Callithrix jacchus: one gene and its partners. The protein of the gene in region 1 interacts with the protein of each later gene in a pairwise test. Links are inferred from orthologs where the notes say so. Each region holds a gene or a part of one and is shown in the gene's direction. Other genes may lie near its edges.

What was found.
Region 2: the proteins of FHL3 (region 1) and KIRREL2 interact in binary tests that used the Homo sapiens proteins (3 or more experiments, as listed by UniProt). The two-hybrid records come from large-scale screens. The link is inferred for Callithrix jacchus from reciprocal best matches to the Homo sapiens genes FHL3 and KIRREL2.
Region 3: the proteins of FHL3 (region 1) and SPMAP2 interact in binary tests that used the Homo sapiens proteins (3 or more experiments, as listed by UniProt). The two-hybrid records come from large-scale screens. The link is inferred for Callithrix jacchus from reciprocal best matches to the Homo sapiens genes FHL3 and SPMAP2.
Region 4: the proteins of FHL3 (region 1) and ZNF512B interact in binary tests that used the Homo sapiens proteins (3 or more experiments, as listed by UniProt). The two-hybrid records come from large-scale screens. The link is inferred for Callithrix jacchus from reciprocal best matches to the Homo sapiens genes FHL3 and ZNF512B.
Region 5: the proteins of FHL3 (region 1) and CCDC198 interact in binary tests that used the Homo sapiens proteins (3 or more experiments, as listed by UniProt). The two-hybrid records come from large-scale screens. The link is inferred for Callithrix jacchus from reciprocal best matches to the Homo sapiens genes FHL3 and CCDC198.
Region 6: the proteins of FHL3 (region 1) and PIERCE1 interact in binary tests that used the Homo sapiens proteins (3 or more experiments, as listed by UniProt). The two-hybrid records come from large-scale screens. The link is inferred for Callithrix jacchus from reciprocal best matches to the Homo sapiens genes FHL3 and PIERCE1.
Region 7: the proteins of FHL3 (region 1) and FOSL2 interact in binary tests that used the Homo sapiens proteins (3 or more experiments, as listed by UniProt). The two-hybrid records come from large-scale screens. The link is inferred for Callithrix jacchus from reciprocal best matches to the Homo sapiens genes FHL3 and FOSL2.

The regions. Positions count from the first base shown.
Region 1 is NC_133508.1:74,574,102-74,577,579, reverse strand, and holds the end of FHL3 (four and a half LIM domains protein 3), read left to right. Parts: intron 1-187; 5' UTR 188-207; coding exon 208-363; intron 364-471; coding exon 472-646; intron 647-1,494; coding exon 1,495-1,664; intron 1,665-1,752; coding exon 1,753-1,939; coding exon of another isoform or gene 1,940-1,967; intron 1,968-2,064; coding exon 2,065-2,219; 3' UTR 2,220-2,854; downstream 2,855-3,478. UniProt on the Homo sapiens protein: Recruited by SOX15 to FOXK1 promoters where it acts as a transcriptional coactivator of FOXK1.
Region 2 is NC_133523.1:32,042,020-32,045,780, forward strand, and holds part of KIRREL2 (kin of IRRE-like protein 2), read left to right. Parts: intron 1-134; coding exon 135-285; intron 286-952; coding exon 953-1,058; intron 1,059-1,168; coding exon 1,169-1,317; intron 1,318-1,552; coding exon 1,553-1,680; intron 1,681-1,765; coding exon 1,766-1,898; intron 1,899-2,167; coding exon 2,168-2,268; intron 2,269-2,429; coding exon 2,430-2,649; intron 2,650-3,099; coding exon 3,100-3,204; intron 3,205-3,527; coding exon 3,528-3,637; intron 3,638-3,761. UniProt on the Homo sapiens protein: May regulate basal insulin secretion.
Region 3 is NC_133523.1:384,999-389,526, reverse strand, and holds the start of SPMAP2 (sperm microtubule associated protein 2), read left to right. Parts: upstream 1-1,690; 5' UTR 1,691-1,744; coding exon 1,745-2,055; intron 2,056-3,462; coding exon 3,463-3,585; intron 3,586-3,845; coding exon 3,846-3,917; intron 3,918-4,329; coding exon 4,330-4,391; intron 4,392-4,528. UniProt on the Homo sapiens protein: May be involved (but not essential) in spermatogenesis.
Region 4 is NC_133506.1:59,440,491-59,445,039, reverse strand, and holds the start of ZNF512B (zinc finger protein 512B), read left to right. Parts: upstream 1-1,533; 5' UTR 1,534-1,641; intron 1,642-1,794; exon of another isoform or gene 1,795-1,928; intron 1,929-2,519; exon of another isoform or gene 2,520-2,563; 5' UTR 2,564-2,686; intron 2,687-3,374; 5' UTR 3,375-3,375; coding exon 3,376-3,517; intron 3,518-3,815; coding exon 3,816-3,958; intron 3,959-4,416; coding exon 4,417-4,545; intron 4,546-4,549. UniProt on the Homo sapiens protein: Involved in transcriptional regulation by repressing gene expression. Associates with the nucleosome remodeling and histone deacetylase (NuRD) complex, which promotes transcriptional repression by histone deacetylation and nucleosome remodeling.
Region 5 is NC_133509.1:92,135,073-92,139,278, reverse strand, and holds the start of CCDC198 (factor associated with metabolism and energy), read left to right. Parts: upstream 1-1,289; 5' UTR 1,290-1,428; coding exon 1,429-1,651; intron 1,652-4,124; coding exon 4,125-4,206. UniProt on the Homo sapiens protein: May be involved in tuning the metabolism, energy expenditure, and excretion processes.
Region 6 is NC_133502.1:184,009,536-184,013,857, reverse strand, and holds the start of PIERCE1 (piercer of microtubule wall 1 protein), read left to right. Parts: upstream 1-1,484; 5' UTR 1,485-1,514; coding exon 1,515-1,657; intron 1,658-2,709; coding exon 2,710-2,788; intron 2,789-4,322. Other genes in the region: MRPS2 (small ribosomal subunit protein uS2m), read right to left, coding at 252-377, 565-607. UniProt on the Homo sapiens protein: Microtubule inner protein involved in the attachment of outer dynein arms (ODAs) to dynein-decorated doublet microtubules (DMTs) in cilia axoneme, which is required for motile cilia beating.
Region 7 is NC_133515.1:86,640,128-86,643,888, reverse strand, and holds part of FOSL2 (fos-related antigen 2), read left to right. Parts: intron 1-2,703; coding exon 2,704-2,811; intron 2,812-3,761.

The DNA.
Region 1 (3,478 bases):
TAAATACAGCAAGAAATATGCAGAACTCCTGGTTTCCCGGAAGCACCCTTTCCCCATCCCCACCTACTCTGAACCAGCATTTCCTATGCCAGGTTTCTTGCTGTGTATTGAATGCAGAGGGCTCTTTGCCAGGAGCCAAGTCACAGCCCCTCTGCGTGACCCCAGTTCTACCTTGTGCTCCCCACAGGGTTCTCTCCCCTTGCCACCATGAGCGAGTCATTTGACTGTGCAAAATGCAGTGAGTCCCTGTATGGACGCAAGTACATCCAGACAGACAGCGGCCCCTACTGTGTGCCCTGCTATGACAATACCTTTGCCAACACCTGTGCTGAGTGCCAACAGCTTATCGGGCATGACTCGAGGGTAAGGAGAGGACCGAGCTGGGCAGGAGGTGGGTGGTGACTGGAGGAAGGGGGCAAAGGATGGATCTACCAGGCCTGGGTGCCAGCGTCCCTGCTGTGTTCCCCACAGGAACTGTTCTATGAAGACCGCCACTTCCATGAGGGCTGCTTCCGCTGCTGCCGCTGCCAGCGCTCACTAGCTGATGAACCCTTCACCTGCCAGGACAGTGAGCTGCTCTGCAATGACTGCTACTGCAGTGCATTTTCCTCGCAGTGCTCTGCCTGTGGGGAAACTGTCATGCCTGGTATGTCCCCAAGGGGCTTATCTTGTATGAGAACTGGCATGCCTGGCATCTGCGTAGGGTCTTGGCATGTGTCTGTCTCATACATGGATACTTGGTCTGTGTAAAAACCTGCACAAACACCGTGTTTCTGGAAATTTAGTGTATGCAGGATCTGTTTGCCTGGTCTCCTGGGGGCTCACTATGTGCTGGCAGATTGACGCATTTGATACATACTTGGAGGCTTAGCATGTGTGAATATCTGCATGTTTGGTACATGTAGATGCTAGAGGCATGCTGAGACTGTCATGCTTGGTGCATTGGGTCTTAGCGTGTGCAGAGGCAGGTAAACAGAGGGCTTAACATGTGGGGAACTGCATGCCTAACAGAAATGTTGGGACTCAGCACATACGGGCAATGGTGTGCTGAGGAGATGTGAGGGCTTAGCATGTACTGAACCCGTCAGGCCCAGGGCATTAGGACTTTGTGTGGGCAGATACTTATTTGCCTGACACATGTGGGGTCCCGTGTGAGTGCTGAAACCATCACATCTGTTATATGAGGACTTAGCGCATAGTGAGACTTCATGACTATTACATGGAGGCTTGCTGTGTACTGAAATAGTCATATCTGGGACATACAGGGGCTTAACATATGCCAAAATCCTCATGTCTAGCTCGTGCTGAGTCATCATGTCTGGTGTCTGGGGAGAGGTTAGCATGCGTAATGTACCTGGCGGGGGGTCTTGCTGCATGTGCATGGACGTCACCCTGCTCAGGCTGTGAGAGCAGTGGAGACTCTGGAGAAGTAACAGAGCGTGGCCCTCAAGAGCGTGGGACACAGCCTCTGAGTGTAACCCCTGTTCCCCACAGGTTCCCGGAAGCTGGAGTACGGAGGCCAGACGTGGCATGAGCACTGCTTCCTGTGCAGTGGCTGCGAGCAGCCGCTGGGCTCCCGTTCTTTTGTGCCCGACAAGGGTGCTCACTACTGTGTGCCGTGCTATGAGAACAAGTTTGCTCCTCGCTGCGCCCGCTGCAGCAAGGTGGGGGCTGGGCCAGCTAGGTGGGGGTAAGGCCCGTTGTGGGGTGGGAATCGCCACTCATACCTACTAATGGATGCTGCCCCCACAGACGCTGACACAGGGTGGAGTGACATACCGCGATCAGCCCTGGCATCGGGAATGTCTGGTCTGTACTGGGTGCCAGACGCCCCTGGCAGGGCAGCAGTTCACCTCCCGGGATGAAGATCCGTACTGTGTAGCCTGTTTTGGAGAACTCTTTGCACCTAAGTGCAGCAGCTGCAAGCGCCCCATCGTAGGTGGGACAAGGGTCAAAGAATGGAGCGGGTAGGGTTGCAGGCAAGGGAGTGGGATGTGGTATTGGGCGAGGTTGAGGGCCAGACCATCCCCGGATCTGCAGAGCTAACTTCCGGCCTCCCTCCAGGACTCGGTGGAGGCAAGTATGTGTCCTTTGAAGACCGACACTGGCACCACAACTGCTTCTCCTGTGCCCGCTGCTCCACCTCCCTCGTGGGCCAAGGCTTCGTGCCAGATGGAGACCAAGTGCTCTGCCAGGGCTGCAGCCAGGCAGGGCCCTGAGCCAGGGCTCCTGAGCCCAGGCTTTCCAGTACCACTGCCCCAGGACTGTGGCTCCTCTTCTAAACCACCTCTGGGACCCAGCCCCTCCCCAGTGTGGGTCTCTCTCTGGGCTCCGGGATTGTTTCCCTACTCCAGCATCCCCAAACTGGTGCTCCCTGAGCCAGGCCCCCAAACCTGGGCTCTTATGGAGCCTCCATGAGACAAGCCCCTTCCCCACACCTGGACTCCAGAACTCAGCCCTCTGCCCTGCAGTCTGGGTTCCCAGACTGAGTCCTCTCCCCAAATCTGGGCTCTAGACTCCAGTCCTCCAAACCCGAACTCTGGGACCTAGGCCCCCTTAAACATAGACTTCTCTTTATAGATTTTAGGTCTCCTATGGGTGCCTGAGAAGTCCTCAAAAGTTACTGTTCCCAGGCTCGACCCACCCCACCCCATCCCCAGGGCTGAGGCTGGCTTTGGGGGCAGCAGATAAGGGGCCCACTGGTTAGGGGGCCTTAGGGGACAGGGTGCTGCCCAGCCTGTGTCCACCAAGTATCTCCTCATTTTATTTCAGCTCCATTTTGCCCAGAGATGGGCAGAGGGGTGAGATTGGCTCACCCCCCCTTCTAGATTCTGCAATAAAGTGGTGTGAGGAAGCAGGGCCTCTGTATGTGTGTTCAGGATATAGAGGGGAAGGGTATTTACAGACTGGGAGGCTCAGAATCTCTTCTAGACCTCGTCTTTGCAGGGCGGAGGAAGCGGGGCCGGGCCACGGGTGGGAAGTCTCTCCCCAGGAAGGGGATCCCCGCCACAGCTACTGTCCCTCTGGAGCTGGGCCTGCCTCCCTGCTGGCAGAGGGCTTTTTCCTTCATTTAGGGAAGGGAGGGGTTTAGGGGAGGTTCCAGACGAAAGCTAGGGTGGCGGTGGGGTTCCTTAACTGGCTGGTGCAAATCGTCCCCTCCACCAGGAGCCCTGCCCAAAGCCCGCAGAGCCAGGACCCGGTTCCGATCCCGAGTCTGGGCCCAGACCCTCTCAGCCCCCTTCCCCCTCTTCCCAAGGATTAGCGGGGGCGGCCCGGGATCCGCTCGCACCGCACGTTTTTTGCCAAAAAAGGAAAGGATGCAGCTGCACATGCCGCGGGAACATCTGGATCCGATTCCCGGCATGAATGGGTCACGCCCCGTCCCCCGTCTCACCCCCTCCCCCCGCCCTCCGCCAACAGTAATTCAAGTCCAGGGTGGAGGCGGGAATGAGCGAGGGGGGCTATCCCCCAAAGTGGG
Region 2 (3,761 bases), on another chromosome or scaffold:
TCATCAGCTATCATTAGTGTTAGTATGTGTGACCCAAGACAATTCTTCTTCCAATGTGGTTCAGGGAAGCCAAGAGATTGGACACCACTGATATAAGGGGCAGATGGTATTATTATTGTTATCCATCCCTCCAGACCCTGCTGAAGGAAGGGACCCCTGAGTCAGTGGAGAGTACCTTAACCCTGACTCCTTCCAGCCATGATGATGGAGCCACCTTGGTCTGCCGTGCCCGGAGCCAGGCCCTGCCCGCGGGAAGGGACACAGCTATCACACTGAGCCTGCAGTGTGAGTGCAGCCGGCCCTACAAAGAGGGGTGTGGGGCCCTGACTACTGGGTATGAGGAAGGAGGGGACTGTGGCCCCTGGGGAACCAGGACACTGGGGCTGGACTCCTGGATCTAAAAGAGCAGGAGAGGGCAGAGTATAGTGGCTCATGCCTGGATTCCCAAGCACTTTGAAAGGCCACAGTGGGCGGATCACCTGAGGTTGGGAGTTTGAGACCAGTCTGGCTAACATGTTGAAATCCCGTCTCTACTAAAAACACAAAAACTAGCTGAGCGAGATGGCACATGCCTGTAATCCCAGCTATGTGGGAGGCTGAGGCAGGAGAATCACTTGTACCTGGGAAGCAGAGGTTGCAGTGAGCCGAGATAGTGCCACTGCACTTCAGCCTTGGCGACAGAGTGAGACTCTGAGCAGGAGAGGACAGATGGCTGGGGTCCCTGGAGAAAGAGGAAGCTGGGCCTGGACTCCCACCTCTGGGAGAGTAGGAGAGGACAGAAGGCTGGCACATTGGGATGCCTGGAGGAACTTGGAACTGAAAGCCTAGACTCCTGGCTCAAAGGGAGAAGGGGACTAGGGGCCCAGATTCCTGGGGTGGAGGAACTAGGGACTGGACCCCTAGGCCAGTGACAGAGGTGTTCCTAGTCCTGACCATCATCCCACCCTCACAGACCCCCCAGAGGTGACTCTGTCTGCTGCGCCACACACTGTACAGGAGGGAGAGAAGGTCACTTTCCTGTGCCACGCCACAGCCCAACCTCCTGTCACAGGCTACAGGTGAGGACGAAGACCACCTCTCTCCAGCCCCAAGATGAGCTTGGGAAGGGCTGGGACCAGAGTAGGTGTGCCAGAGAGCGAGGACACTAACTGCGCCACCACTTCCTCAGATGGGCAAAAGGGGGCTCCCCGGTGCTCGGGGCCCGCGGGCCAAGGTTGGAGGTCGTGGCAGATGCCTCGTTCCTAACTGAGCCCGTTTCCTGCGAGGTCAGCAACGCCGTGGGTAGCGCTAACCGCACCACTGCGCTGGATGTGCTGTGTGAGTTGGGGCAGGGCTGTGGGTGTGGTCAAATGTGGGCGTGACTTTCAGGGCTGTTGGGGCGGCACCTGGAGGGGCGGGGCCTGGAGAGTGGGCGTGGATTATTAGGAGAAGGAGCGTGTGAACTTGGGGCTTATTCTCGCGCCCTAGAGGGTGTCATGTTTCTGTGGGGCTGATCCAGGATCAGGGGCTGCATTCCGCCCTGGCCATGTGACCCCTCGTCTCCCTCGTCCAGTTGGGCCGATTCTACAGGCAAAGCCGGAGCCTGTGTCCGTGGACGTGGGAGAAGACGCCTCCTTCATCTGTGCCTGGCGCGGGAACCCGCTTCCACGCGTAACCTGGATCCGCCGCGGTGGCGCGCAGGTGCAACCCTAAATCTGAGGCGGTAGCTGGCGGGGAACCGGGTTTGCTTGCAAATCCGACTTCTGACGCCCCTTCCCTGTCGCAGGTGCTGGGCTCTGGACCCACGCTGCGCCTTCCGTCGGTGGGGCCCGAGGACGCAGGCGACTATGTGTGCAGGGCTGAGCCTGGGCTCTCGGGCCGGGGGGGCGGCGCCGCGGAGGCTCGCCTGACCGTGAACGGTGAGAAGGCGGGGCTTCCTAGGGCACCTAGAGGGCCCTTGGATTGGGAGTGGACGGGGGGACCAGGCCTAATGCAGTGGGAGTGGCCTGGAAAGAGCTTTACACCCAGCGGGGCATGAAGATTGGACCTATCGAAGGCGAGGCTTTTAGGAGAATCTGAGTTTGGAAACGGCGTGGCCTGATTGGATGAGAGTGCCTTGGCCCGGCCCGGCTTTGTTACAGTCTTTGGGGCAAGACCTGTCCTGAGTGACCCACTGTCTCCATCCCAGCTCCCCCAGTAGTGACGGCCCTACACTCTGCGCCTGCCTTCCTGAGGGGCCCCGCCCGCCTCCAGTGTCTGGTTTTTGCCTCTCCCGCCCCAGACGCCGTGGTAAGGAAATGTCACTCCACTCATGACCCATCCAGCTGTGATCCCTGATTTCCCACCTGGCCCTCCTAAACTGCTGTGACCATCTCTGACCTCCCAGACATCACTCCCGCTTCTTCCCCCACTCCTGTCTCCTCGGTGTCCTCCCTCTTTTGTGCCCCCAGGTCTGGTCTTGGGATGAGGGTTTCCTGGAGGCAGGGTCCCGGGGCCGGTTCCTGGTGGAGACGTTCCCTGCCCCGGAGGGCCATGAGGGACAGGGTCCGGGCCTGATCTCGGTGCTACACATTTCGGGGACCCAGGAGTCTGACTTTAGCAGGAGCTTTAACTGCAGTGCCCGGAACCGACTGGGCGAGGGAGGTGCCAGGGCCAGCCTGGGCCGTAGAGGTGAGACCCCAGCCTGAAGACCTCAAATCTGGAGAGTCTAAACCCCACAAACGCAGGGATCCCCCAACCGAGGGCTGCCAACCTCAGACCCTCAAATGCAGAGACCTCCAAACCTTGGGAGTCTCAAAACTGTGGACTCATGGAGTCCCAGGACCCCCCAACTACAAATGCCTTCACATTCTGAATCCTTAACTGAGAGACCCCTCACACTGAGGGGCCCCAAAAAGGACCCTCCAACGATTGCAAAGCAAATTGCAAAGTAAAGGACCCCTCAAACTCTAGGACTCCCTAAAGCCAGGGAATTTAAACTCACATACTTGCAAAATTCAAGGGTCTTTGACTCTCCAAATGTGAGACCTTTTGAACCCAGGGATCCCAAACTCAGTCCCTGAGCCCCCGCTTCCTGGTTCCCCCTCAGCCTTCTCAGGATGTCCCCTCTACTCCCTGCAGATTTGCTACCCACTGTGCGGATAGTGGCCGGAGTGGCCGCTGCCACCACGACTCTCCTTATGGTCATCACTGGGGTGGCCCTCTGCTGCTGGCGCCACGGCAAGGGTCAGTGCCTGAGCCCCGCCCCTGCTCCTCAGGCCCCAACCCCACACACACCCTGCCTGCCCAGTGACCTGACCTGGCCTTGGGCCCTGGCTCCAGTCCCGTAGGTCGCCTTCAGGTTTCCACCCGGAACCGGGCTAGCTCTCCTCAAGCCCTAACTCGCCCTTCCCAGGGTCACGCTCCTTGGCCTGGGAAGGATTCTCATTGGTTCCCAACAACCCCACCCGATCCGCCTCGTTGGTTCCCAGTCCTCTCTTTTCCCGCTTATTGGTCTGCACACACTGTCACCCCGCCCATCGCTAACTCCGCCCCTCGCTGTTCGTCAGCCTCAGCCTCTTTCCCCGAGCAAAAGAACCTAATGCGAATCCCAGGCAGCAGCGACGGCTCCAGTTCGCGAGGACCCGAGGAAGAGGAGACGGGCAGCGGCGAGGACCGGGTAGGATGCCAGGGTCCCCAGACACTACTCTGCCTCCAGACCCAAGTAATAGCCCAGTCTCAAGAGGGACCCCAAACTCAAATAGGGCTTTAATGCTGGACGTGGTAGCTGACGCCTGTAATAC
Region 3 (4,528 bases), on another chromosome or scaffold:
CAGAGAGTCTCCATCCTGAAGCAGAAGCTCTGGGGACCCACAGCCCCACCCGGGTGGCTCTGATGGTGCCACTGGGCATAGGAGAGGGGCATGCTTCAGTGGCATGTGGCTGCATGACCGGCAGTCCTGCTAGCAACTAATGGGGGGCGCTGGCCACACCTCGGGATTCTGTGTTCTGTGCTGGACGTCACAGCTGACGGGGGGCACTGGCCACTCCTGGGGATTCTGCGTTCTGTGCTGGACATTTCCTCACTAGGTAGCAGGATGTTGTCAGCTCTGCGACAATCTCTCACAACTGTTTGGACTGAAATGTTGCTATGCTGCATCTCTGATACGTGAAATCTGCCCTGCCCTCCCTCTTTGGGTCTGCGGGACAGGAGCTGTCTCAAGATGAATCCGGTGGGGGGCATTTCAGAGACTGGCACGGGTGGATTTGATGGCAAACTCCTTCACCTTCTCTCTCTCCTCCTGCCATTTTCTTTTGCAAGGAAAAAGGAGCCCAGAATTGGGTGAACGGTAAGGCCTTACTTCCATCCACCCAGTCACTGACCCATTCACGAGCTCATTCCCCAACCACAGAGGAAGAACGTCACCAGTGACTTCCGGCCGCAGCCCCAGAAACAGCAGCACCTCCTACAGCTGCGTATCAGGACCGCTCTGGTCTTGCTTTCTTGCTTTTTTTTTTTTTAGAGACAGGGTTTCACCATGGGCTGAATCTCTTGACCTTGTGATCTGCCCACCTCGGCCTCCCAAAGTGCACAGCCGTGAGCCACCACGCCCGGCCTTCTTTCTTTATGGAGTCTCCCTCTGTCACAGGCTGCAGTGCTGCGGCGCGATCTTGGTTCACTGCAACCTCTGCCTCCCGGGTTCAAGCCATTCTCCTGCCTCTGCCTCCTGAGTAGCTGGGACCACAGGCGTGCCCCACAACGCCCGGCTAATTTTTGTATTTTTGGTAGAGATGGGGTTTCACCATGTGGGTCAGGATGGTCTCAAACTCCTGACCTCGGGGCCTCCCAAAGCGCAGGGATTACAGGCAGGAACCACCGCCCCCTGCGCCCCCCCTTTCTTTTTGAGACAGGGTCTCACCCTCACCCAGGCTGGAGTGCAATGGCAGGATCTCGGCTCACTGCAAACTCCACCTCCTGTGTTCAAGGGATTCTCCTCCCTCAGCCTCCTTAGTAGCTGAGGTTACAGGCACATGCCGCCACATCTGGCTAATTTTTTTTAAATTTTGAGATGGAGTCTTGCTGAGTTGCCCAGGCTGGAGTGCAATGGCGCGATTTTGGCTCACCGCAACCTCCGCCTCCTGGGTTCAGGCAATTCTCCTGGGTCAGCCTCCCGAGTAGCTGGGATTACAGGCACGCGCCACCATGCTCAGCTAATTTTTTGTATTTTTAGTAGAGACGGGGTTTCACCATGTTGACCAGGATGGTCTCGATCTCTTGACCTCGTAATCCACCCGCCTCGGCCTCCCAAAGTGCTGGGATGACAGGCGTGAGCCACCGCGCCCGGCCTCTGTGTCTTAATAGAGGGAAGCCCTCTGCAGATCCCCTCAGGTGTCCTTCCTAAACAATCCAGGACTAACCCTGGATCCCAGCACAAGCCCAGGTGACCGGCCTTGTGGGCAGCCCGGGGTTAGAATGTGGGTGTGGGGAATGTGGGGGCGTTCTCCTGTCGCCACGGTGACCACAGACACATTTGGGTGTGGAAGGAGAGAGGCCGTGGGCTGGGGAGCCACCTGCATATGGGGGACGCCAGGCAAGGGCGGGGTTCACTGGGCAGCCAGCACTCCGAGGCTGGGGGTGGGTCAGAGAAGGAGCCGGATGGTGACCCTCGCGGCCTCCAGAGCTCTGCGAACGAGAGCCGGCGGGCCACAGAGCCCAGACTCCAGGACCTGGGCCATGCAGAGCTGGGCCCTGAAGACCCAGAAGGGGAGCATCCCCCTGAGGAGCGGGCCGGGGAGGAGCTCCCAGAGACCCTGGACCCCAAAGACGCCGTCTATGAATTGGAGAGAGCTCTGGACCAGGACGCAGAGGAGGACATTCCTGAGATGAGGTAGGCACCGGGGGGCAGGGGGCTGCCCGGGCACGGGGTGGGGGTAGGGCTCAGCCCCTGGCCATGGGGGAGACAGCAGCCCCCACACCCAGCAGTCCCCAGGGCAGCTTCCCAGGCACAGGAAAGTCTTGTTCCCAGCCTCTCCCTGGCTTGCTGCTCCCAAGGGGCCCTGCTGAGGCAGCCCAGGTGTTGGCCCAGTCAGAGGGCGGCCTGGGTGTGGGCTGGGTCAGACGGCGGCCAGCACCCCTCCCTGGGGTCCGAGGCAGACGCCAGCAAACACTTCCGTGCAGTGGCGGGGGGGGAGTAAACTGATTTTGGAGTCAGGCACGCTGAGTTCCGGCGCCCAGAATTCAGGGTTTACAAGTGATGACCTCATATCAGAGAGAAAAAGAAATGGGGGAAAAAATTTCCCAATTTGTCTGGGGAGAAGTGGCTCAGGCCAGTCATCCCAGCACTTTGGGAGGCTGAGGCGGGCGGATCACAAGGTCAGGAGTTTGAGACCAGCCTGACGAACATGGTGAAATCCCATGATGATTTGGTGAATCAGCACCAGGGGTGGTGATTCAATCATTTGGGGCAAATTGCCCGAGTGACCCCAGCAAGGAGTGCACGCCTGGCGCCTCCGGGGCTCGCTCCTCGCCTCCCGCAGCGCGTGGTCTCCGCGCACGTCCAAGCCCAGCTGCCCCTTCTCCCGTGGGCCCTCTTCTTGGGCCTTTTCCCCGGCTACGACCCGTGCTGCCAAGAACTCAGCAGCGGCCCTGCTCTCTCGGGCTGTGCTGACCTGCAGAGAAAACAGCGGGGCATGAGGGGCTCCCGGGGAGGACGTGGGAGCCCAGGGCTGTGTCAAGGACGGACACAGGGGCAGGGAGGTGGGCAGAGGTCCCGGCGCTCAACCCCGTCACCTGCTGCCTGGTCCTCCCGCAGTCTGTGAGCTTCCTGGGAGGCAGGAGCTGTGCTCTTTGTAGCCTGGCTGCCCCTCTGGGGCCTGGCACACAGTAGCTCCTTGATAGATGCTTGTGGGTTGAGTGAACATCCCCTCAGTACTCACTGAGGCACCCCACCGGATGGGGGCCAGTCTCATCCCCGGTTCACAGAGGAGGACGCTGAGGCCTAGGGAGTCAGGAGTCCCGGCCAGGGTCTTCCATCCCGCACACTTTGGAGCTGGGGTTCAGTCCAGGCCTTCCTGAGGCCAAAGTCCTCCCCCTGGAGACCCTGGCGGGAAAGGAGATGTGTGTGTGGCAGGGGTGGGGTGGGGGGCACGGTGGGGGGGAGGGGGAGGCGTGAGCAGGAGACGGGGGTGGGGTAAGTGGCCGACGAAAGGTGCTTGAGCAAGGCCCAGGCCGTCTGGCTCCCAAATGCATCATGGTGGAAAAGCAGCTCCAGCTTAGACATGGAATTCTCCCGAAGCCGGCTGTCCATCAGCCAGAAGATCCCTGGCACCGCCGTGGCCAGAGCGAGGAAGAAGAGGAGGCGGCGGAGGCTCAGGGAGCTGGCAGAGCCCAAGAGAGACTGGCAAGTCGTGAAAGACAGGTGAGGCCACGGTGGGGGCGGGGGCAGGGCTGGGGCTTCCTCTGCACCCTCCCAGGCTCCCCCGTCCCCTCTGCTGGCTCCCCTCCCCCAACCGCCACCAAGTCCGATGGACTCAGGGGTTAGCTGGCTACGGCCACACACCAGGACTCACTGGGAACTCTGGCCCTCCGGGCGGTGGCCAGAGGAGAGTGAGGAGTCCGGGAGCAAACGGGAGACCCAGGACAAAAGGCGGTGGGGGCTCGGCCCCCGTCTCCTCACAGGAAGGGCTGCTGTTGTGGGGGCTATGCCTGGATTTCCCCCTGCAAGACGAGCCTGCAGTTCTGTCTGTACTGGTAAGTCCAGGGCCGTCTCCGCCATCTGTCTGTGCTGGGGGACACGCAGCAGGTTCCAGGGAACCCCTTCAGTCGGCCACCCTCTTCTCTCCAGAGAGAAGGATGGGAGGGCTCCTCAGGTTGGAGGCTCTTGCCCCCAGGGCTGCTCCTGACTTCAGCCTTGTGCTCTGGACTCGGGGCAAGCAGCTGTGACCTGGGTCTGTGGTTCCGCTCTTCCCCCAGCTGCCTCCCCCTCTGGACACGAGCCTTACTCAGGACAATCCGTGCGTCCCCTGCAGTGGCCTCCTCTGGCCTCCCCCTCTCCCTGCAACTCTGAGCCTCCCCTTGGCCGCCCTCCCAACAGAGACCTGGGCTTCTTTCCGGCAGGTCCTGGGCTCTCTGCCCCCTTCCCTGAGCCACCTGCTTGTTCTAGGCCATCTGTGTACTGGACCGAACGGTTCCTGGAGGACACCACCCTCACCATCACAGTGCCCGGTAGGTGCCGCTGTGCCTGCCGAGGCCCCTGCCCGGCCGCTGCATCCAGGTGCTTCTGGCCTCCCCTGGCCATCTCCGCAGAGCCTCTGTCCTCCCCACTTCTCTCTGGGGTCCTGCTCTGCAGTCTGTCCCCTGAG
Region 4 (4,549 bases), on another chromosome or scaffold:
AGCTGGGCATAGTGGCTGGCATGCGCCTGTAATCCCAGCTACTCGGGAGGCTGAGGCAGAAGAATTGCTTGAACCTGGGAGGCAGAGGTTGCAATGAGCCGAGATTGCACCACTGCACTCCAGCCTGGGTGACAGAAATAGACTCCATCTCAAAAAAAAAAAAGCTCTGTAGGCACAAGATGAAAACCCAGAGTCTCCCTGACTCTTCCCTCCTGAGGCCTGAGGCCTTCCCTGGGAGATAGGTACCGTGATCAGGTGAGAATGGCCCTGCCAGCTGTAGGTGGTGGGCCACGCCTGTAATGCCCACACTGCGGGAGGCTGAGGCAGGAAAACTGCTTGAGCCTAGGAGTTCAAGACCAGGCTGGTCAGCACAGAAAGACCTTGTCTGTATGAATACTTTAAAACTTAGCCAGGTGTGGTGGCACACATCTGTAGTCCCAGCTACTTGGAAGGGTTAGGTGGCAGGATTGCTTGAGCCCAGGTTATAGAGGCTGCAGTGAGCCAAGATCACACCACTGCATTCCAGCCTGAATGACAGAGTGAGACCCTATCTCCAGAAGAAAAAAAGAAAAGAAGAAAGGAGAGGAAGGAAGGGAGGGAGGGAGGGAAAAGAAAATAAGGGAAAGAAAGAGAAAGGAGTGAAGGGAGGGATGGAGAGCATGAGGGAGGGAGAGGAGGAAAGGAAGAGAAGGAAGGAAAGGAGGGAGGGAGGAAGGGAGGGAGGAGGAGGGAAGGGAGGAAAAGAAGGGAGGAAGGGAAGGAAGGAAAGGTGGGCGGGCTCTCCTGGGGGAAATTCTTGTAGGTCCTGTGCGAGACCGGTGCAGGGCCTCCCAGGTAAGGCGCACAGACCTCCTCCGGGTGCTCTTGAGAGCACACCTTTCTGTGCCTCATTCATTCCCCAGCCCGGTGCTATCAGTGCTCGGTCACCTCCGGACCGCCCAGCCCACACTGCACCCCAGTGTCCCCTGCAGAAGCCCAGGCTGTGGGGCAGAGAAGGCGTGGGCACTGGCTCAGAACCACTGCCCCCAGAGCCAGGAAAGCTTGACCCAATGGTCAGTGACCCCGGTAAGGCCCCATGTCCTCAAGCCGCCAGGCACTGCCAGGAGCCAGGAGATCCCCGCTGGGGGTCAGGTGGAAAGAGGCTGAATCCTGCCCAGCGGGTGCACGGCCCCCAGGGCCAGAGGTCAGGATCACGCGCCCCGAGGCCGCCCTCGCCGCGCCGGCCAGGACGCGGTGGAATCAGGCCGCCTCAATCCGCGCGCCGGGCTCCGGGCAGTGCCCAGCCCCGCTATGGGCCTCAGTTTACCCCACTGTCCAAAACACGGCCCCCGCCCCAGGACTGCAGAACTGTCTACTCTGGGCTGCGGGACCTGCCGACGGGGGCGACACCGCGAGCAGGGGGGTCGCGGGGCAGCGCGGGGTGTCCCCTCCCGCCCCCTCCCTGTCGCGAAGCGGCCGCGGGAATAACGCGAGAGTTCGCCCCCTCCCCCGCGCAGTAAAACTGTCAAAGGTGGGAGGGGCGGGAGCGCGCATGTGCGCAGCGCCGCGCGCAGCCTGCGCCGCCCGGACCCCACGCCCCGCGCCCCGCGCCCCCCGGCCCGGCCCGGCCCGGCCCGGCCGCAGCCCCGCTGGGCGCCGCAGGTAAGCGCCCGGCCGCGCCCCGGCCCCTACTCAGCCGCAGCCCCGGCGCCCGCCGCGCCCGATCTCGACCCCGCGCGCGGGCCGAGGAAGGGGCCGGGCCCAGAGCCCCCCGCCCCCCGCCGCGCCCGAGCCCCGGCGCCCCGCGCCGGCGCCGTCTTCCTGCCTCCTCCTTCTCCAGAAAAAGTCGCCATTTTGGTTCACTGCCTTCGCCCCCCCACCCCGCGCCCGTGACCGGCCCTGCCCGGCCAGGCCGAGGCCCGCGCCCCGCGCCCGGCCCCAGGTGACAGGTGGGTGGCGAGGCCGGCCCCAGGTGCGCGTCGCTGGCCGCGCTTCCCCGCGCGCCGCGCCCGGGCCGGGGTCCCGGGCGGAGCGGCCTACGCGGCGGCCCCGCAGTTGGCGTCTTCTGCGCGCAGCGCGGCCAGCCCCCTCTCCCCGCCAGGGCTCGGTGACCCCGCTGGGCTCGGGAGGGCCGAAGCCCCTTATCCGGGGCGCGAGTCGCGTCTCTGCCCCCAGGCTGGCCCTGGCCTCAGGTCCCACTACTGTGAATTCTTCGCCCAGGCTTCAAAAAAATTGGACGTGGGGCCTCAGCAAGCACCTGCACCCCAGGCCACCGGGGTCGTCAGGGGCTGGGATGACTCCTGCCGGCCCTGTCTCCTTTCGAAGTTGCAAAGTGAGGCCTTCCAGAGAACTTTGTCCCCGACACTGGCCTCCCCCTTGGCAATGGGCGATGACTGTCCTGACCTCTGACCCTGCTCTCTGGCCCTTTTGGACACAGTGGCCCCTTCCCATACTCTGGGATCCAAGTTAATTAGAAGCTGTCAGGAGGGGCCACCTCCCCACTCAGCCCTCACCCTGCTTCCTGCCCCACCCCCTTGCAGGGCCTTTCCACAGGTCTGGGCCCAGCATCTCCTCTGCTCCCCAGCTCTGCAGCAGTACAGGCCCTCAGGGGCCCAGCCTGGGGCAGCAGGACGTTCTCTCTGGCCAGCAACCTGGGCCTTCACTGCCGGTGCTTCTGAGACTCGTTTGGTTGAAGTGGTGGTGGCGGGTCAGTAGATGGGACTGAGAGGCTTCAGAGAGAGGTGGGGTGGGGGGGCAGATCAGCCGCCAAGCCTGGAGACAAGGCCGCCAAGGGCGGGGACAGGAGCTAGGTGCAGTGCCAGAGTAGGCCAGGGGTCCTCAGCCCACCTCAACTGTTTTCCATCTGCGTCTGGTGAGGATTCCAAGGGTGCCTGCCTGGGTGGGCTGGCACTGCATCAGGTCTGCCTGGGAAGAGATGAGGGCTCCGGTGAGAAGGTGGGCCCCCCTGCTGGGCCCAGGCAGCCTGTGAGCCAGCAGCCATCACCCGAGACATAATTGGCCCCCGGAGGAATGTTGCCAGCCTCCTTACTCCTGCACAGGCACCTCTCTTGGGGACACACCCCTCCCAGCTCTGGGTAGGAGTGCGTCAGCTTCGGCAGCATCTCCAAAGCTGCACACCTGTCAGGAAGGGGGTCTGGAAGTTGGTGAGGGTCTCAGCACAGGACTAGGTCCTTCCAAACTGACGATGCCTCCTGGGTTGTCCGAGGAGACCCTGACAGGCAGCTCCCCCTACATCCGAAGCCCCCATCACTTGTTTTCCCATGTGAGCAAAACCACGGAGGCCAGGCTCCTCTTCCCTGATCAGAGAGGGCCTGCGGAGGACGGGGCTCCAGGATCCCATCACGTGTTCTCAGGGGACCTGTCATGCTTCACAGAATGTCCACTTGTTCTGCAGAGATGACGGATCCTTTCTGTGTTGGAGGCCGTCGGCTCCCAGGGTCCAGCAAGAGTGGTCCCGGGAAGGATGGCAGCCGAAAGGAGGTCCGACTGCCGATGCTGCACGACCCACCGAAGATGGGTAAGAGGAGTCGGCCAAAGTCGATTCCAGGTGGTTCTGGGCAGCAAGTCATAGGAGTGGGCCACCTCCCGACGTCCTGTCTTCAGGCACCCAGCTAGGCCATGGGGTTCCTGAGAACATAAGCAGGGTAGCCTCACCTTGGATGTAGTCCAGGGCCCTGGGTTCTTGTCCTCAGCTGGCCACAGCCCCTGGCCTGGCGCCCTGGCGTTGGGACAGTGGTGCTCATTGTGGGCCCGTGCAGCCCCCAGCAGTAGGCAGTGCTGCACGGCTTCCAGCCTTGCTGTGTTCTGTGCTGCAGGGATGCCGGTGGTCCGTGGTGGACAGACAGTGCCCGGCCAAGCCCCTCTCTGCTTTGACCCAGGAAGTCTAGCCAGCGACAAGACAGAAGGGAAGAAAAAGGGGCGGCCAAAAGCCGAGACCCAGACCCTCCGAGACATTCCTGTGAGCTCCCTCAGGGCCATGGTGGGGCTCACGCTGGGGTCTCCCTATCAATCAGCGACACGGTGGGGCTCACGCTGGGGTCTCCCTATCAATCAGCGACATGGTGGGGCTCACGCTGGGGTCTCCCTGTCCAGACATTCTCCTGGCCTGATCTGTCCTCTGCACATCTGGTACCAACTCTATGCCTAAGGTGTGGGCACTGGGCTGGCAGGCTTCCTGAGGCCTGGCTTTGTATTTGATGTGCCATGAGATTCCGGGGGTCACATTGGTGGGCTCCCAGAACAGGCCTTGTGCATGGCCAATGCCGGAATGGCTTGAATTCCCACCGCAGTCCCGAGGTTGAGGAGCTCATGTGGTGTGTGTACACTGCAGGCCCAGGGAGGGCTCTGAGTCTGGGGCTTGGGCTGGCGGTGGCACAGTGGCTGCAGGTCAGCAGCGCCGCCTTTCCCCACGCCCAGCTCTCCCTGATGAACGCCTGGAAGGATGAGTTCAAGGCACACTCGAGGGTGAAGTGTCCAAACTCAGGGTGCTGGCTGGAGTTCCCCAGCATCTACGGGCTCAAGTATCATTACCAGCGGTGCCAAGGGGTAA
Region 5 (4,206 bases), on another chromosome or scaffold:
ATATAGAAACTGCAAAGAGAGTAAGTAGGAAAAAACTAAACTCAGGCATCTTTTTAGATAAATGCTATTGTCTATCAAGACTTACCAAACGCCACATTAGTCCTTAGGAAATGGATTGTGCAAATATGAAAAATAAATTTTCTTTTAATTTCTCTATGGAGATGTAATGAAAACACAAGTAATCTGTGGTCATGAACAATTAGAACTTGAAAGTTAGTCCCCCTTCTAAGTATAAAGAAAGTATAAAATAAAAATCACCCACAATCCCACCATTCAAAAATCACTACTCAATATTTCAGCACATTTCCTTCCAATCTTTTTTTCTATTTTAAAAATCATAATAGGCCAGGCACGGTGACTCATGCCTGTGATCCCAGCACTTTGGGAGGCTAAAGTAGGCAGATCACTTGAGGTCAGGAGTTTGAGATCATCCTGGCTAACATGGTGAAACCCCTTCTCTACTAAAAATAGAAAAATTAGCCAGGTGTGGTGGTAGCAGGTGCCTGTAATCCCAGCTTGAGTGACTGACTCAGGAGAATCAATTGAACTGGAGAGGTGGAAGTTGAGGTGAGCTAATATTCTGCCACTGCTCTCCAGCCTGGGTGACGGAGAGAGACTCTGTCTCAAAAATAAATCACTTAATTTAATTTAATTTAAAAACATAGTAAATAGGCTATCTTTAAAAACTCAAGGTTTACTTAGACCATTTATTAAAGAAGTTTGTCCCCTCATCCCCAGGAAAAAATTTTCTATTATCCTCCTGACCTGCAATGCATTCATCCCCTTCAAAGGCAACTCATCAACAGAAAAATCAAATGACACTTTAGCCACTCAGCTGCTTTCCTTCATATTTGAAGCATAAATCATTTAATTAAAATTAAAGATTAACAAAGCCTTGGTCATTGGCATGCATCCTCTTAATTCCAAAGATGGCTTAGCTATTCTTAGCTGTCAGTTTTTTACAAAGGTATTTGCAATGAAAGGGTCAACTTTAGACTTCTCTAAACCTCTGCTCTACCTCTCTCTCTCTCTCTCTCTCTCTCTCTCTCTCTCTCTCTCTCTTTCTTTCTCTGTTAATAACCTTCCTGGTGTTAGACTGGTGTTAGATATTTGTTTAATAATCAATAGTGGCTTCTTTTCCTATCATTGAGTATTTCAGAAAGTAGCATAACCAAGTCAATGTTTAACTGGATTCTTTGGGTCTGAAGTGGCAAAGTTGAAGGAAGTCTCCATGGAAACCAGCCTCCCAGGAAGTGGCCAGAAGGGTTAGTGTGCAGTGATATAGAGCTAGAAGGATGCCTGCTAGAAGGAAATGACTGCTTTGTAAAGCCAGGGTAAACTTCTGAAATGCCTTGATTAAAACAAGCTATATTAAAGACCCCAAAACCACTTCAGTCGCAGCTTTCCTCTGAATGTCTTTCACATGAAATGGGCCTGAGTCGCTCTAAGGCTCACCCTAGGGTGATCAAAGTAGCACCTTTGCAAAACAAAGAGGGAGAGACTCCCTCGGCTGGCCCTGTGGACTTTGCATTCAATCAGAATTTGGAAGAAAAGACTTCATATTTGCCGGCAAGACTGCAGGACCAGAATAAAGCTTCGGAAGGGCAGCTGCCACCTTTACAAGAAACCTCGTATGGAAGATATTCTGCAGGTAAACATAAAACCCAGCACGAGATGTGTGCATCTGGATCAAGGAGCATTATTAATAGATTTATCTGACTGTCTCCATGATCTCAAAAAGTTCCGAAATTACTGAAATGTAAAGGAATTTAGGCTATCTTTGAAAACTCAAACAGATCTTTCAATGAAGATTAAATGTCAATTGAAAGTATTCTGGGTACATTAGAGTGGGAGTATAAACTGCACAAAGGGCTTTTCACTGTTCTATATGAGAAGGAAAAATCATTTCCTTTCAGCTCAGTTTGTAATGCTTTCAATGTTTATACCTAGCTTTGCCAGACGATTAAAATTATATAGATACTAATGTGATAAACGATAGCAATCACGTTTCAGTTAGATTCTAAATTTAAATCATTCTCTCCAGTACAGTTTAATGCACCAGGCTTTGTGGTTTTCAAAACAGCACTTTAGGAGTGAAGTCATTCTAACGTGAATTTTGAAACCATCCTAAACAGAATTGATTTATTGCAGTCCAGAGGAGTGGATGAGTCACCCTTTCCCAGCCCCACATTCTTCATGGTCGTCTGCAGAACGAACAGAATTCTTTAACATTATGATTGGAAGCTCTAAGCCTGAAGTGGCTATAAATTATCCTGGGATATTTTATAAGCCATGTAAAATATTTTATGATGGCCACAATGATAATTAAACAGATATTCTCACTTAGAAAGAGAAATATATGTTTATAATATACACATACGTATACATGTATATTGTTTTCCCTTTTCTTCACCTTCTGGATCATTAACGCCAAGAAGTTTCCCTTATTGGAAGCCTTGTTCAGAAAGCCTCACTTTTTCTTTTGGTACCTAGTAAATCTTGCCTGGAATGATTTTTTATGGCTACTGTCTGGAGAACTGATAACCTTTGGTTGGTTCCATATGACCTATTTTTATGTTCTTTATACTCTCCAAGTTCTTAAGCACATGGATGGGAATTTTCCTCTTAAAATTTTTTAATGGTAGATAGATATATAGGTGATTAGACATGATTTTAAAAATGGAGCATGAATGTGTAATAAGAGTATGCAATGCTCCTCTTGAAGAATTCCTTTTTTATTCAAACTCCCTTCCAGAGTTTTAAGATTTTGGTAACAGAGACTCTTTTTAAAAAAAAAAAAAAAGATTTTGGTAACTGAATAAATGGTGAAAGCTGATTCATGTGCTTTAGAGTCCTAACTGGAAAATGTGCTTATGTTTGAAATGACAAAATCACATTAAATATAAATAACCAGGAGATCATGAGGATTCTGATAAGTATTTTCCATATTCTTACCCCAGCTCCATCAAATACCAAATCGTATGACCTTGGGCAAGTTACTTCATCAATTTTTTTCACTTGTAATCAAGGGTAAAAATAAATGCCTGACATAGCCTATGCCATTTGAGGAGAATCTAATTAAATAATGAAATAATATCACTAAGATCATAAAACAAAATAAGTAGTAGGAAGCTTCTGAAAAAAAAATAGCTGAAAATACTTACATTTTTAAATCCAATATGTTTGTTGTTCTTTCTGTCCTGCTCAGTACACTGGCATCTTTTCAAAAGAAAATAAGGACATGGTTTCCATCCCACTAAAAGTTAGAACAAAGTTCCTAAAATGGTCATTCACATGTCTTAAGGATAGAGATGCATAATTACTCAGGGATTTTTTCATTTTAAATGCAAAGTGGGACTGTAAAATAGTCTACGAAACAATCTAGAAATCAGACTGTGCCCAGATTGTTAAAAGGGAAGGACAAGAATTTCATTCATGCAGCGTTGGTCATGGTAGCACTCCCAAGAGCTCAGGATAATCAAGCTGGAAAATAAAATCCATATGGACCTGTTGAGCCTCTCTGTTTCCTAATAGAGGCTTAACTCTGTATTCCCGGCTTGTTTTATCAGGAAAGAATATTGCTATGTTGTATTATAGTAGCAACCTGTGGACATTTCTTTCCTAGTTAAAAGGACTATTTGATTGTGATTACACATAATCCATTTCTTTCTCATCTTTGTGTAATCACCTATCATCTATTTTATCTGAGAAGATTATTTTCATTTTTTAAAGTTACATGTTTTTTCTGATGTCTTATATTTTGGGGAGGAGATTTTATGGAATTAAAACAAGTCAGTAAATGTCTGTTTACCAGACCAAATTCTGTTTGAAAAATACTTGCAGTCAACATATTGGTAATTTTGTAACTCTTTCCCTGCATATGAACCTGAGTAGGAAGTTAAGAGAGCAGAAATTGAATCCTGGGTCTAGACTAAAATAGTGTCATTTGGACTAATGTGGGTTCCCTGCTTTCTGTGTTTCATCTCCACATTCAACCCATGTTAGATATAAATAACTGAAAAGGTACAAAATTGTGTTGACAAACTCTAGTAACCAATGATTGCCTGGTGTAATTGTAAATTATATTTAATGATTTACTCTTTTTTATTCTCCAATCCTTCAAGCTTCCAGAGATGTGTATTTTGACATCCCATTGGAACACAAAGAAACAAGTATTATTAAAAGGCATCCACCCCAAAGACTGCA
Region 6 (4,322 bases), on another chromosome or scaffold:
CTAGGGAGCGAAGCCTGGGCTGCCCACTGGTCCGCCCGCTCCCTCGCACCCATCCCTGGAGAGGCGGTGGCCTCAGCCTGGGGTGCTGGGTCCGACAGGACTGAGCGGCGGCGCGCTCGGGGGCGGGAGAAGCCCGGCGGGGCGCGCAGCTTCAACCGCGCGCAGCGCCCGGGCCCCTCCAGGGCTCGCCGCCCCGGCGGCTGCTGGCCTCTCCTCGCTCCCACCCGACTCGGCGGGACGCCCAGTGTTACCGCTGCCGTCCTCCGGCTCGCCGATCGCGGGGGCCGCCGCGCTTCCAAGCGTCCTGCGGCTCGGCCGAGCAGGCCCAGGGGTTGGCTCCCCGAGGAGGCCCAGCCAGCGCGACGGGGCCCGGGCGCCTGAGGGAAGCAGACAGAGGTCCTGGCGCCGCGCCGCGGCTGCACCACGCCCGCCCCGATCGCGTCCCCCACGGGTCCCCTCGCCCTCCCCGAGTTCCTTCCGCGCCCGCTCCGGGTCCCCTCCGCCCCCTCGGGTCCCCGCGCGCCCTCCGCATCCTCCTCCCGCGGGTCCCGCAAGCGCGCTCACCCACGCCGAGCATTCGAGGCAGCGCTGCCGAGGAAGGCGCCATGGCGGGGACGTGGACGGGACGGGGCCTCCCTCCGGGCCCGGCCGAGCGGCCTTCCCTCCCGCCACCGTCCGCGCGGGGCCGCAGCACCACCTGCAGGCCTGGAGGAGCCACGGCGCCGTCCCCGGGCCGCAGGGACCTCCCTGCGGGGCTGGCGAGGGGGCGGGGACGGAGGCGGGGGCGGGGCAGACGAGGGGCGGGGACGGAGGCGGAGGCGGGGGCGGAGCAGGCGACGGAGCAGGACCCGGGGTCCGGGGCTCTAGAGTCTCTGGCGGGGAGTGGGGCCACGTTCCTCGCCCTGCAGCTTGCCCCGCCCTGCTAATGTGCCGAGCCGGCCCGGGAGTCCCCTGACCCTTGGGGGCACCCGCTGAGCGATGGGGACCTTCGCCTCCCGCCACGTGAGCTGTGAACCACGTCTCGCGCAACCTCTGGCTCTCCAAAATTGTTTTTAATATTTAAACGATATTTGGCGTAGGAGAATCGCATAGAGTTAGCGAGATCTCGGGTTTCAATTTAGACTCGGGGTGCTGGGGGCGTGGCATCCCTGGAGGACACTGGACAGCGGACGTCCAATCGCTGCCTGCCGCGTGAACCGGCAGCGCTTAAACCCCGTCACCTGGCTGGCGGGGTGCTAGGCCCTGGGGTTCCTTTACCCCGGGAGCCCACGCCCCGATGCTGGGGTGCCCCGGTGCCCCCGCGGGCGGCTGGAGGCCTAGGGCTGCCCCACACGACGGTTCCAGCAGGGAATCCCTGGCCGTCCTGACCTTCCCGGTCCCTGGGGACTCGCCCTCCGAGGAGCCCGGTCCACGCGCTGCGCCTTTAAGGCCCCGCCGCTCGCGCCCCCGTCACGTGACCTGGCCGTCGCTAGGCAACAGGACGCGGCCTAGTCCCGCTTCCCGCCGGAGGCGCAATGGCCGAGGAAAGCCCCAGACCGTGCGGGGAGCCTGTGGAGCCCAAGGCCACGGCCCCGCCGGAGAGGACCAACGACTACTACCGAGTGAGCGCGGACCTGCCGGGCCGATTCAACAACCCGGGGTGGTTCCGGGGCTACAGGTGAGGAAGCCGGAGCGTGCCTGGGCCTGGCGTCCCCTGCTCCATATCCCTGTTTGAGAGGCCCCGCAAGACCCCCAAGATCCTAGCTACGGAAGTCAAGAGGAGCGAGTGGTCATCGGGGGCCCGCGCTGTCATCGCCCACCAGTGAGCTGAGGAAGTGCTCCCTAGAGCCTGATACAAGGAAAGGGTCAGGCGGGGTCAGGCGGGTTCAGGCGGGGTCAGGCGGTGCGGGGCCGCGGGGGGATGAGAAAGCCCAGCTGTGGTCTCAGCTCCGCGGTTTTGTGTCGGATGAGTCACCTCTCCTCTCTACCCTGAAACTCTGCTGCAGGGCATGAGCACAGCAGCACCTCCACTGTCTTGCTGCGGACTGTGAGCTGCCACAGGGCGCCGCAGACTAAGAAGTAGTAAGGAACTTTGAATTCCGACAGGCAGGTGCAGGCATCTGGCGGTGCCCCCGGGTTTGGTTTCTCAACAGTCCTCTAGGGCAGGGTTTGTTCGTATCCTCGTTCTCCCAGAGAGATGATGGGGATGTAGGAAGAATAGTTTGGACAAGATCTGGGGTTACAGTGGAGCTACTCTGTGTGCCTGCAACCTCTCAGTGGCCTGTCCCTGACAGGGGCAGTGGTACCAGTAGAAGCATGGCCTCAGCGAGGGTGGGGGCTCAGAGGCAGAGGGACCCTCTGGGTGGCAGGATCTGGAGGCCAAGCCTCCACTCCTGACAAGGTGACTAAGTTACCCAGAAATTGCAGCGTGTGCCAAGGCCCTGCCAGGGCTGGGGGTCAGCACTTGCTGGCTGCCTGCTCTTCAGGGCTTTGGCCTGCTTTGAAAGAGCAGGGACAGTTGTGAGCAGAGGGGGCCAGGGAAGCTGGGCCATCCAGGACCGTCAGCCAGGCACTCATGGAGGCTGCCTTTGAGGCTGCATCACCAGCCCAGCCAGGCACATGGCTCTTTCCCTGGGAGCATTTCCAGGGGAGTGCCGCCAACAAAATACAAGGCTGTGGCTTGGACAGAATTAGATTGAATGAATGAAAACAGTGTTTCTCATCCACCAGCACCCAGAAGGCTGTCTCAGTGTACAGGACCAGTAACCAGGCTTACGGGAGCAGAGCCCCCACCGTGCACGAGATGCCCGTAAGTGGGAAGCAAGACCGGGTGTTGGGGGGCCAGGGGGTGGGCAGCCTCAAAGAAGAGGCTAAAAACCTGGGGTTCTCAATAGGTCAACAGTGAGACGGGGAGGGGTACACCCAGGGAGGGGCCCAAAGTTCCAGCATGACAAATGGGGAGGAGGGAGGTTCCTCAACTTGTTTGGGAGAGGGTAGGGTGGAACTCAGCGAGTAAATACATTTGGGAGTGGAGTTTTTAAAAGAGGAGGAAAGTGCATATGGACGTGCTGACATCACTCTGTCCGCATACACCCACCACACGCACGGCAGTCACACATGCGTGCTGACATCACTCTGTCCCCATACACCCACCACAAGCATGGCAGTCACACATGCGTGCTGACATCACTCTGTCCCCATACACCCACCACACGCCAGGCAGTCACACATGCATGCTGACATCACTCTGTCCCCATACACCCACCAGACGCACAGCAGTCATACATATACCCAACCATCTCCTGCAGTTTATAGCAGTCAGTTTTGAGGCAAATCAATGAAGGGTTCCTTTCTTTCTGGTATTTTACTTTATGAGATGTTAACTTGTGACATTAAGAGGCAGTACAGGCTGATGGCATAGCCTGTGGGCAGGCAAGGCGCACTGGTGGGCACAGGAGCCTGTGGGCCTTTGGGGAAGCCAAATGCCTTTTGAGCTTGACCTCAGGCCCCCCTAGAATCTCCCGGAACCAAGCCTCCTGCAGGTCCAGGTGAATGGACAGAGGGACCTGGGAAAGTGGGACAGCCATTTTGGGGTGAGAATGTTGTGGGGCGTTTTTTTCTTTGTCAAAACATTCATCATTGAAAGGTCTGGTGAATGCTTATTTAGTTGTGTTGCATGAATGGCTGAGCTCTCGTGAGAAGGTGATTACTTATCTAACACTGCTGGAGCATTTGAGAATCACTTTCCCAGAGTCAAATGACCCTGAGTTTTCCCTGGAGATCAGGTATTTCTATGAAAAAGACCAGACACAGCTGGGCAGGGTGCCTCACACCTGTAATCCCAGCACTTTGGGAGGCTGAGGTGAGAGGATCACTTGAGGCTAGGAGTTCAAGACCAGCCTGGGCAACATAGTGAGACCCCATCCCTACAAAAATAAAATAAAATAATCAGCTGGGTGTGGTGGCATGCACCTGCAGTCCCAGCTGTTCAGGAGGCTGAGGTGGGAGGATTGCTTGAGCCCAGGAGGTTGAGGCTGCAGTGAGCCGTGATTGTGCCATTGCATTCCACTCTGGGTGACAGAGCCAGGCCCTGTCACCAAAAACAACAAGACCAGAACACTCACTCATATGGCTCCGGATGTTTTCGGTTTTATAAAAGGCCATGAAAACGTGTCCCTATTATAAATGGTAGGAGCCTTCATGCCACTGACATGGCCAGGTGATGGCATAGGAGGCACGAGGGACTCCTGACAGGTTTCAAAGGAGGTCTTCCTGCTTCTTATCCACCTGCTGCATCTGGAGTCTGTGTTCCAGTTTCGTGACCAAGGGCGGATGCCAGAGAA
Region 7 (3,761 bases), on another chromosome or scaffold:
TTCTCATTTCCCCTTTATACCCATTTTGTAGATAAAAAAACTGAGACCCAGAAAGGCGAAGGGCTCTATTTTTTTTTTTTTTTTTGAGACGGAGTTTCGCTCTTGTTACCCAGGCTGGAGTGCAATGGCGCGATCTCTGCTCACTGCAACCTCCACTTCCTGGGTTCAAGCAATTCTCCTGCCTCAGCCTCCCGAGTAGCTGGGACTACAGGCACGCACCACCATGCCCAGCTAATTTTTGTATTTTTAGTAGAGATGGGGTTTCACCTTGTTGACCAGGATGGTCTCGCTCTTTGACCTCGTGATCCACCCACCTTGGCCTCCCAAAGTGCTGGGATTACAGGCTTGAGCCACTGCGCCCTGCCTGAAGGGCTCTATTAGAGTCACACAGTGAGTTAGTAGCAGAGCCAGCACTGGAACCCACTTCTCCTGACCTTCAGCCCTATGATTTTCCCACCACACCACCTAGGCGTGCCTCATACACTCTGTCTGGAGAATTTCCTTCCTTTTTTGAGAGGCAGGGAGAGAACAAGGAGCATTTTATCCCACATCAGTTGGGAATTCACACAATCACTCAGCAGCTTTGAGGAAGCCTGGTCAGTAGCAGCCTAGAACCCTGGCTATTTGGGTTCCCAGCCCTCAGGGCTTTGCTCTGAAGCTTACTCCAGCCGGCCCCAACCTCCCCAAGCTGCCCTGCTAGGGAGGAGCCTGTCCCCGGAGCTGACCTGGTGCCTCATAGGCCTCGTCTGGAGCCTGCCTGGGAGGCTCCCTCTGTGCCCTGTGGCAGCGACGCTGAGCAGATGGGGAGGAGAGGGGTGTGTGGCTTGTGGGTGGGTACGTGGTGGTGCTGACATACTCAAGCTGGAACCATGTTGATCTCACTGGCCCGGATCACTTCCTATGTCGACAACTCCCACGAGTTGCCCCACACCTCACCAGTCAGGGGAGAGACTTCTAGGTCAATCAGGAGGCCAAAAGTTGTCCAGAAGTAGCCAAGTGGGGAGGAAGGCTTGGAGTGGGGTCAAGGCCAGCCTCCTTCTTTTCTGCCTCTCAGCGAGGGATCTAGGGGGCTTCCTGGGCCTTATAGGGAGCCCTGGTGGCCCTTTCAGTGGTGAGCCCTAAACCCAGGCCTGCAGCAGTGCCATAAGGTTTTCTTGGCAACTCTGCCGGGCTCAAGTCAAGACAGGCTTAGGAGCAGCAAGTATCCAGGGCCTTGGCCAAGTGGCCTCATGACCTCAGCCAGGCCGTGGCCTCCTCTCTGTGTGGCAGGCATGGGATTACCCTCTCTGGTGCTGTGATGATTGTCCTCTCTTGGCCGTTCAGAACATCACAGCAACAGACCTCCAGGGCTAGTGGGAGCATCGTGGGACTCTGACTTGGTTTCAACCAGAACAGTGGCTCTTTCCTTCATGGGGTGACCCAAAGTCCAGGCAGTATCCCCCCATGGGACAACTTCTTCCTGCTCCTACAAAAGCAGCTTTGACTTTGCCCCAGGTGTCCCATGAGAGCTGACCCAGGTCTTATTCTCCTTGAAATCATCTAAGCCCCCAGAATAGCACCAGGCACTTAGTAGGTGTGCAGTCTGATGCACACCTTGATACCTTAGTAGGTGTCAATGTCTGATAACTGAATGGGTGATCTTTCCCTTGGCATTGCTTTCTGTTTTGGCCCACAGCTGGCTCCTTGTGTCACCTCTGCCTGAAAGAGGCATTGGGGTCACAGCTCTGCAAGGCTCTGTGTAACCAGAGCATTGGCCCTGCTCAGTAGAGCGGAGTTCATGCCCTCTGGCATGAGAGACAAGTTCCTAACCATCTCATTGGAGGAATGTAGACCCTAAGCTCTTTGCAGGGGAGTCTTCCTTTGTTTGGTTCACAGATAAATCCTAAGCCTCTAGAACTGTATCTTGCACATGGAAGCAGGTGCTCACTCGTTGAGTGGATGGGTATGGTGGGCAGCAGGATTATACCTGCTGGGGGCTCCTCTTCCTTTTGCATGTCCTGTCCAACCTAGCACTGCATCAGGCATGTGGAGGAGTACTTGGAGTTGAACTGTGAGCAGCTGGCACCCTGGGATTGGCAGAGGAAATCCGGAGTGGAGTAGCACTCTTGGCCCTCCCAACAGCAATATAACATTCCCCCTGGGTGGTTCTTACCTGTGTGGGGACTCCAGGCCCAGCTACTTAACCAAATAGGGATAATGAGGCTTGCAGAGCAGGCAAAGTGATGGGAGGAGTAATTAGCTGGGGTTTGGAAGAAGCTGCTTAAGTTAGTGGGGCCACGCCTGGCTGGCAGGAGCTGGAGAGGGCTCTTGGAGAAGCATCCCCAGCTCCTTCTCTCTGGTCTGGGCACTGAATCAGGGCTGATGTGACAGGTGCTGCCATCATGCCAGGGCCAGCGAATCCCTGACCTATTGCTGTCCTGTTTAAACATGGACTTTAAACATGGACATCACCTCCTGGGGCAGATTCAGCTCAAAGACCCCTTCCAGGCTACCAGACATCAGTGAGCCGCATGTTCTGGGGCCTCTGAGTCCAGCCATGCTCCTCTTACCTTTCTTCCTCCTCTCCCCATTTCCAGAAGGGCTTCTTGCCTTACTTAAAATACAGTTTTTAAAAAAATGCTCTGAACCATTGGCCCTTTTCTAATCATGATGCTCTGAACCATTGGCCCTGTTCTAATCATGATTGTTGGGTTTGGCCTCTAGCTGTCTCCTGAAGAGGAGGAGAAGCGTCGCATCCGGAGGGAGAGGAACAAGCTGGCTGCAGCCAAGTGCCGGAACCGACGCCGGGAGCTGACGGAGAAGCTGCAGGCGGTGAGGAACACCTCTGGGTGGGAGCACCTCTGGGTGGGCTGGAATGAGAGCCCCAGGGGTTCCGATCCTCTCTCCCACAGCTGTCTGCTTACCCACAAATACCCTACAGATGAGTCAGTTGAGATAGAGCTTTCCTTCCTTTGGACACATGGGTCAGCATTGTGCCAGTTGAAAAAAAGAGAGAGGGAGGCAGGTGGCCTTTAGCACCAGCCAGGACCCAGAGGGAAGAAATGAACAACCTTCTGGGTGGAGTCTAGCCACTTTTTTTTACCCAATGCCTGAGTGTTCTCTGCTCATGGACCTCTGGGGGCTCCTGGGTGAGGGATGGCAGAGGGTTTCAGTATCACAGGTCCCTGTGAGCCAGGGCAGATCCAGACCTGCCTCCTCCAGGGCTGCTTCCCAAGGTTCCGGCTACTCCCGTGCCTACTGCCGTCAGGAGTGGCCCAGCCTGGCCTGAGCACTCTGCTTGGCGCAGGGGGAAGTCTTGATGGAGATGGGTCACGTGGCAGCCGAGTTGTATTTTCTTGGGGTTTTCTCATTTCCTTTATGGGCAGGCGGGTTCCCTGCCTCTGTCATGAACTCAGAGCCATGCCGGCTGTGGCACTGCATGCTGCCCTTGTGAGTCACTCTCCCATGCTGCCTAATTGCCCAGGCCTGGGGGCCCACAGCCCTGCCCTTCCCTGTCTTAGGCTTGACCTGACCAACGTCACGTAACTCCCTTCAGAGCCTGGCCCTCCAGGAAGGGCTGTGTGCTGTGTGGAGGGCCCAAGCCAGGGTTGACTCTCCCGGGTGGATGCTTTCAGAGCGTGGAGATGAGAGACTCTGTCAGTGGTCCTCATCATGACCGCCCAGGATGGGGCTTTGAAAACATTCCCCTTGCCTCACTTTTTTTTTTTTTTTTAATTATAATTTTTTTGAGATGAGTTTTGTTCTCGTCACCCAGGCTGGGG